2 linked regions of the Elephas maximus indicus genome follow. Each later gene encodes a partner of the first gene's protein in a complex. Links are inferred from orthologs where the notes say so. Each region holds a gene or a part of one and is shown in the gene's direction. Other genes may lie near its edges.

Evidence for each region. Proteins that work in one complex are often made in the same cells at the same time.
Region 2: the proteins of RPS6KA3 (region 1) and BMF are in contact, whole or in part, in a crystal structure (PDB 8R58), measured with the Homo sapiens proteins. The link is inferred for Elephas maximus indicus from reciprocal best matches to the Homo sapiens genes RPS6KA3 and BMF. Residues at the interface, in NP_004577.1 of Homo sapiens: Trp252, Phe259, Phe268, Leu281, Ala283, Lys284, Leu285, Gly286, Met287, Pro288, Leu299, Arg300, Phe303, Lys304, Arg305, Asn306, Asn309; in NP_001003940.1 of Homo sapiens: Glu8, Leu10, Glu11, Asp12, Asp13, Val14, Phe15, Gln16, Pro17.

What each region holds. Positions count from the first base shown.
Region 1 is NC_064846.1:159,177,220-159,180,961, forward strand, and holds the start of RPS6KA3 (ribosomal protein S6 kinase alpha-3), read left to right. Parts: upstream 1-1,234; 5' UTR 1,235-1,495; coding exon 1,496-1,564; intron 1,565-3,742. UniProt on the Homo sapiens protein: Serine/threonine-protein kinase that acts downstream of ERK (MAPK1/ERK2 and MAPK3/ERK1) signaling and mediates mitogenic and stress-induced activation of the transcription factors CREB1, ETV1/ER81 and NR4A1/NUR77, regulates translation through RPS6 and EIF4B phosphorylation, and mediates cellular proliferation, survival, and differentiation by modulating mTOR signaling and repressing pro-apoptotic function of BAD and DAPK1.
Region 2 is NC_064828.1:15,928,358-15,932,099, forward strand, and holds the start of BMF (bcl-2-modifying factor), read left to right. Parts: upstream 1-1,026; 5' UTR 1,027-1,139; exon of another isoform or gene 1,140-1,508; 5' UTR 1,509-1,636; intron 1,637-3,690; 5' UTR 3,691-3,695; coding exon 3,696-3,742. UniProt on the Homo sapiens protein: May play a role in apoptosis. Isoform 1 seems to be the main initiator.

The sequences.
Region 1 (3,742 bases):
GGCCAGTGGCTGCGGTAGCTTTCCACTCAGCTTGGCGACTTTTACATTTTCTGCCCGTGCAGGCACACTCAGCGCGCCAGTGCACCTGGCACGGTGGCCCGGGGTCAAACCTCGCCGGCTTCCGGGACCCACTGGAGACTCCCGCTCCCGAGCTCTCCTCGTCCCCCGGGACTCCGTCGCCGTCTCGGGGTGGGTTTCCTTAGATCTCCCATCCTGACCTGGAGAAGGAGTCAGAACCCCCTCGGCCCTCTCCTCCTCCGCCCACGGTCAACCTGACTTTTTAATATAATCTTTTATTTAAAGTCAACGGAGGAGCAGGAAACCCGCGCATCTGCCTACAAGATATTTTTTTAATAACTCCTCGACCTCTGCCGAGAGCAGCAGCCTTCAGTAACCTCCCTATGTATTCCTTCGCGAACATTCAGGCCGTAAGGAGTAGGGACTTTGGAGGTCAGGACCGAAGCCTGAGGGCAAGGCGGACGTGAGGAGGGGATGGGGCGGGGGGGGGGGACCGAAGCAAGACAATGCAACCCGAATATCAAACATTTAACACAAAAGCGTCAACTTAGAGAGCCTTGAATCCAACTGGGAGCCGAACCCCGGGGGCTCCCCGGCACCGAGCTTCCCAAGTCCCCATCTGGGGGTGGGGCAGGTGAATGCCCAGCCTGTGACCCTGGAAAGGGCGGGTCTTGGGCACTTACAGGACGTGCTCCCAGACCAGACGCGCCCACAGGCACCCCCGGAGACAGCTGGCCAAAAGGACACGCCAGGACACCCGGCCTGGGTCTGCGCCCCCCGGCCCCCACGCCTGACTGAGCTCCCTCCTCCGGGGGGGACCACTGCTCTCTATCTTTCCCTAGGAGTCTCCGACCTGCTCAGACCTGTGGTAGTTACAGGCTCCCAGCCGCCCGCCCCTCCTGCCTTTCCCCTCCTCTTTCCCTCGCCTCCCTTGGACGCCCCCAGATCTCTCGGACTCGCCCTTCCTGAAAGTAGGCGAGGCCCCGAAACAGGGGCTGGGAAGAAGGGAGGGAGCCGGGAGGCGGGCAGCGCGGCGGGCTACGGGCGTGGCCGCCTCAAGCCCCGCCCCGGGTGCGCGCGGCGGCGGCTAGCCTCGCTCTGAGAGACAGGTATCGCTTAGGCGCCATGTTGTGAGCGGAAGTGGGGAGCGCGCGGCGGCCGCTGTTCTGCTTGGAGCGGGCGCGGGAACGGGCGGGGGGGGGGGGCGGAGCTGTAGTCGCGGCGGCGGAAGGAGGAGAGGAAGAAAGGGGCGAGACCCCGTGCCCGGCGGCGGCGCGAGGCTCTACCTAAGCGCGCGGACGTCTTGGGCTGGGCGCGCGGTCCGGGAGACCAGTGTCGGTGCCGAGCCCTCTGCGGGGCCGCCACCGCCGTCGCTGCCGCTGCCGCTGCTGCTGCTGCTGCCGTGGGGCTCGGGCGGCGACGGAGCGGGGCGGGCGGGGCGGGAGGAGGCGGTGAAGGCGGCGGGCCGGGGGGGAAGATGCCGCTGGCGCAGCTGGCGGACCCGTGGCAGAAGATGGCTGTGGAGAGCCCGTCCGACAGCGCAGAGGTGAGTGCGGCGGGGCGGCCCGGCGGCGCGAGCCCCCACCCCTCGCCCGGCCGGCTCGCTCCTTCCCGGCGCCCGGCCACTCGGCTGCTTCCTCTCGGCTCGCGTCTCCCTCGGTCCGGGATTCCGGTTCGGGGACTTGGGGCTGGTTGGCTTGTCCGTCTCTGGCTGTTGCTCCCACCCGCACCGTCGCCTACCCTCGCTTCCTCGAGGGGCTCTTGGGGTGGCGGCGCGTGAGGTTTGGAGTGGGCGCTGGGGCTTCGCGAGGTGCCGATTGTCATCAAGTTTGCGTGGGGGACCCGGGAGGCGGAGCGGGGACCGGCGGGGAGTTGGGAACTTTGGCCCTGCCGGTCGGGGGCTTCCCTGGACCTGGGCGACTTTGCGGGGTGGCCGAAGGGTATGGATTAGGTTCCCCGAGAAGCAGGGGCTCTCGAGTGGGTTCGGGGTCGGGGGTTGCTACGGGAACACGGGCGCACGGAGGCAGGAAGGGCCTGGGACAGGGGTGGCGACGTGTAGGGCTTTCGGGTAAGGGGTGCTGGACAGCCTAGGGTTTTTGCTTCCTTCCATCTGCCGCAGCTGCTGCTGCAAAGGAGAAAGGGGGATCCTGAGGTGCCCCCCCATCCGCTTCTGAGGTCGCTGAGCTCGAGGACTCTGTCCCTGCGAGTTAAACTTGAGTTTCCTGCCCATAGAGGCGAGAAGGTGATAGTCAAGGAGATCAACGGCCGCCCTAAAGGCCTTTCTGGTTTTCCTACCCTGGGATCTGGTGACCGTCCCTGAGACACCCACCCGAGTACCTTGTGCGTGCCCTTTCCGGCCCGCAACAGGACCAAACAGAATTGCCCTGGCTACATCCCAGCCACCAGCTTTTCGCAGCCGATCCCAGCACGAACTCAGGGTTTGCGAAAATGACCCAGACAAGACCCATTCCAGGTTATTAGGGTGCATCTCCGGAGTGGAAGGAGCCCTGGTGGCGCAGTGGTTAAGCGCTCGGCTGCTAACCAAAAGGTCGGCGGTTGAAACCCACCAGCCGCTCCGCAGGAGAAAGATGTAGTAGTCTGCTTCCTTAAAGATTGTAGTTGTTGTTGTTAGGTACCGTGGAGTTGGTTCCGACTCATAGCGACCTTATGCACAGCAGAACGAAACACTGCTGGGTTGGAAACCCTGTGGGGCACTTCTACTCTGTTCTGCTCTGTCCTTTAGGGTCGCTATGAGTCAGAATCTACTAGATGGCAACGGTTTGGTTTGGTTTTGGTTTTCGGAGTGGAAAATCAGTTCCTGATGGTGGCGCGTCTGCCATTCTTCTTTCTTTACTTTTTGCTGTCTTCTTTCCCTACAGCGGACTTTGGGGGATTACAGGATGCTAGGCTGAGTGTGTGTAATAGTTACTGAGTGAGTGACCCCATTTCTGGAAAGCATGACTGAAACGCGGGGGTGGAACGGGACAGGCTCTGATGAGTGGTGTACTTGGCGGCAGCCGCTGGCCCTGCCGGCCTCCGCAGTGTGAGAGGTGGATAGGATTACTGGTTACGTCAGTGAGACCAAGGCTCTGTTTGATCTGAGATGCGGGACACTTGCATTCTCGGGTATAATGGAGGGGGAGGGGTTCAAATAGCTTTTCCGCTGTTTCCTGGTCACCTTCACTGCTGTATAAAATGTTTACTTGCTCTTTACAGCGCAAGCAGAGTTGTAATGGTACTTACGATTGGTGCTTAGTATTTTGCGACTCGGAACATACTTTTAAAACCTAAACGAAATGCTGCTCTTGAAAATAAATAAATAACGAAATCGTGTTTTTAAGACTGGCAGAATTACAGGAATTTCCCTTAAAATGATCGTGTTAGTCAGCCTAATGCTATAAATCTTCTGTAAGAAAGTCAAACTTAGAATTTTTTTATCATCCTTTGGATAGGGAGTGAGAAAAATAGTATGCCAGGGGGCGCTTTTCATTCATTTTTTTCTTTCCCTCAGAAGTCTTTTTCTTGCATTAAATAATATCACTAAAAGGTTAATAAAATATGTTCTCGAAGTGCTGAGCTTGTTGAAAGAAGTTGAATTTGCTTTGAGCCAAATTTTTAGATGCAAACATTAACGTTTGCAAATCAGAATCAGTCCACATTTCTGCTTGGCATGTATCAATGTGTAGGAAAAAAATTTGTTTAGCATATACATTTGGGTAAGGAA
Region 2 (3,742 bases), on another chromosome or scaffold:
GACGGGGATCCACCTTGCACCCACAGATCAACGTTGTCGAGTCTAAAAGCTTCCTGCCCCCTCCTACCTTGGTTTCTGGACATGACAATTTCCCAGCCCATTCCCCAGAAAGAAAAGTTGAAAGCACGGTTTTAAACCGGTTCTTTCCAGTTCAGTCCTGGCCACGGAAGAGAATTCAGAGCAAACCTGAATTTTTAAAATTTGGGTGAACTGGGTGGGGGGTGGGGTGGGAAAGGGAGGCGGGGAAGCCTTGTTAGAAACCTAATCACCCTCTTAGAAAACAAGGGCAGCAGTATGCATTGCATAGCAACCATCTCTCTCCAGATTTTGAGCAGAGTCGGGAAGAGCTGTGCCCCAATCAAATTTGGGGGCTGACTGTGCTGCTTTGAAGGTGTCGCCCTCCACAGTCCTGCCATAATTCAATCTCACCATCAGGCTCCTTAAATAGATCCCTACACCTCTTCTGAGTCTCCCATTCCAGGGCTTCCACTCTAATTTTTCCTTTTCTGGACCTCCCACATTGTAAATATTCGGGTCTGTTCCGCTTAGGCTTCCTTGTCCATTGCCGAACCGGTTCAAACCGGTTCAAAGCCCTGGACGAAAGTCACTTTGGTGCCCCAGCGTAATGGTTAAGAGCTATGGCTGACAACCAAAAGGTGGGCAGTTAGAATCCACCAGGCGCTTCTTGGAAACCCTGTGGGGCAGTTCTACTCTGTCCTGTATGTTCGCTAGGAGTCAGAATGGACTCGAAGGCAATGGGCAATACGTGCAGGGCTCTCTGGTTCTTCTGCTGCTTCTGAGCCCGCCTTAGAACTGAATCTGTTTGGAGGACGGCGCTCTAACTGCGCTTCTGGCGGAGGTCGGAATTTTGCTCGGCCCCTTGCAATGTTTCCAAGGGAAAGTTCGCACATTCGTGACCGTCCCTGGCAGCCGCCCAGCCCGGGACTTGGGGATTCACTCGCCATTGGCCAGCCCTCGGCGTGACGCCCCAGGGGGCGGAGCCTCATCAGCTGTTTGCAGGATGCCCCGAGCGGGGGTATTTTGGAAACAATACCGCACGGTGTTGAGTCTCGTCCACCAGCGCCCGCCAGCGCTTGCTGCCGCCGCCGTCCGTTCGCCGCGCCTGCCGCCGCTGCCCGGTGAGCGCCCGGGCGGCCGGGGGCTGGGCGGAGTTGGATCGCACCTCCTCGGGCAAGTGGGGAGCAAAGTCGCGCTGCGCGTGGGGGCCCGGGAAGAATTGGGCTGCGGGCGTTTGGGGTGACCATGAAGTACTGGGACGCTGGGGTACGGGAACGGGGTGCACAGCCCACATCTGGGTGCGCTGCCGCAAGAGGGAACTTGAGGGTAGCGTTTGGGATTCGGAGGAGTTGGGTCTTGGTGGGCAGGAGGGGGTGCACTGCTGAGCGGACCTGGGCGCCCAAGAACGGCCCATCCTCTGGGTCTGACTTTGGGGTAGAGCGGGAAGTTGTGGGCGTCCTGCGGAGCCTGAAGCCTCCTCTCCTTAACAGCTGAGCTTTTTCCCTCCTTCCCAATCGAATCTGGGCGCCAAGCCCCCGAGTGCTCGTCACGCTGGACCCTGGCGCGGAGCCCTGGCGTCACGACCCGGAGACTGACACTCTTTCCTGGAGTCACCCAGGTGTGTGTGTGTGTGTGTTCCCAGACTTTAGCCACAGTCAAGGACCAGTGTCTAGTCACTGCTCTCTCCTGGGAGGAGCCTAAGTTCAGCATCCCTGTTAGAGCCCTTAGAGGCTGTGATCCCTCGTGGTGGTGTCAGGAAGTGTCCCCCTCACACCGGTCAGGACATGGCTTCTTCAGCTCAGGGGAAGAGGCAGAAGGTCTCTTCTAAGCGCTATTCTGGCTTAAACTTGAATTTGCCCAGCATGCCTCGGGACCTTCTACCACAGGAGATCCACCTGCAGTACCTGGGGAGTGGAAGAGGTCCCTGGGGTTTACAGAGCCACACCTTCTGGCTGCACCTCCCCCACTCTCCAGCCCAGGCAAGGGTCTAACTTTGGGGCTTTGCCTGGGCGAGAGGTAGGTGACAGGCTTCAAAGGCAAAACCAGACAATGACTCCTGCTTGTGATTGCCCCTTGGAGGGCCCCCTCTTAGGTTGTAGCCATCACTCTGGGTTGAAGGGCAGGAGGGAAGCCCCTGCCAGGTGACTGGCAGGACAGCTCTTGGTCCATTCAACGGAAAACTTTGTTTCCTGGTGCTGATAAGCTGGAGTGCCCTCCCCTTTGGGAAACACTATCCTAAGATAGTGCCTGCTTTGCCATCCTGGCAGGCATCTCATTCTCCAGGGAGGAGGGTGGAGACAGGACCATAGGTAGCTCAGGGAGGGAGAGTTGAGGCAAGCACCCAAGAGAGAGTGTGTATTTGGGTGAACAAGGATTTCTGAATTACACTGAGATTCCTTCAAGTACTTCACCAACCCGCAAACCATTTGACTTGTTCTTCAAAGGCAAGAGACTGGGGGACAGAATCCCCAGAGATCTCTAATTGAGTCTGACAGTGACAAACTGTCTGTCCATATCTTTAACCACAGAGGTGGTTGATGCTCCTGGCCCCAGGGGCAAAGGGGTTCCTGGGGTGTGTGTGTGTGTGTGTACCGGGGCTGGGCTGGGAGCAGAAGATGCTGGGTGGCTCCAAGTGCAGACTTCCAAGAGCCATCAGGTGGAGCAAGAGGAACTTCTTTATCACCGAGAAACTCATATCAACAACTTGAATAGTACAGGCAGCTAGTGAGGTCACAAAGAGAGGGCCGAATTTCACTTCCTTCTGTGAGGCAGGTTGTACCAATCTCAGGTTCAGCGCTGCCAAGAATGGTAGGCTGTGGGGACAGGGATTTGCAGTCCGGGAGGCTAGTGCGTAGTCTGAGCTGGCTGGACACTTTCCCAGATACTGGACCTGCTCTCTTGGCCAGCCAGTGGTGGACAGACAGCTCTGCTGCCCTCCTGAGAGCTGCAGTGACTAACTTGGTGGGCCTTTTTCCCTTCCCTCTCCCAAGACATGCTTTTTACCACACCACTGAGCCGGTTTGTTGTGTTGAGTAAGTGGAGGGTGGAGGAGGGTGGAGAGTTGATGGCCAGCAGGGCGGGGCTTAGCAGGTTTGGAGGGAACCTGGCTGCAGAAGGATTGCAGGCTTTTGTTATTGCTCCTGCGCCTGGAGCTCCGCTCAGACTGAGCTGAAAGCTCGGTGGTTACCTTAGGACAGTGATTGTGTGTGTGTGTGTGTGTGTGTGTGTGTGTTGTGCGCACTGTGTGTACAGCCAGTCAGAAAGGTTGTAGCACCCTTCTGCCCTCCCCACCCCAGCGGCTCAGAGACTAGCCCTGTTTACATTTCCCCAGTTTACCCTATGTGCCCATAGCAGCTGATCTACCCCTGCCATGGCTCACAACCCTCTGAGTCCAGCTTCTTGACTGGCCTGGGTCAGAAGAAGAGGCCGAGGGGAAGGTGGCCCAGGGAAGGGGTGTGGAGAGTCCCTGAACTTGAAGCAGTCCACACTTTGGGGGTGGGTGTCACCCTTGGTGCTGCTTTACTGCCAGGATGGTGTGTCATCAGACCCTGGCCCAGCTCCCTCAAAGAAGGGGGGAGCAGGGAAGAAGGAAGGGAGGGGAGAGGAGAGGAGTCCTTTCAGGTATGGCCTGGGTGGGGCAGCATCCCAGATGCCTGCATTGCTCACTGACAGGGGAGATGGAGCCATCTCAGTGTGTGGAGGAGCTGGAGGATGATGTATTCCA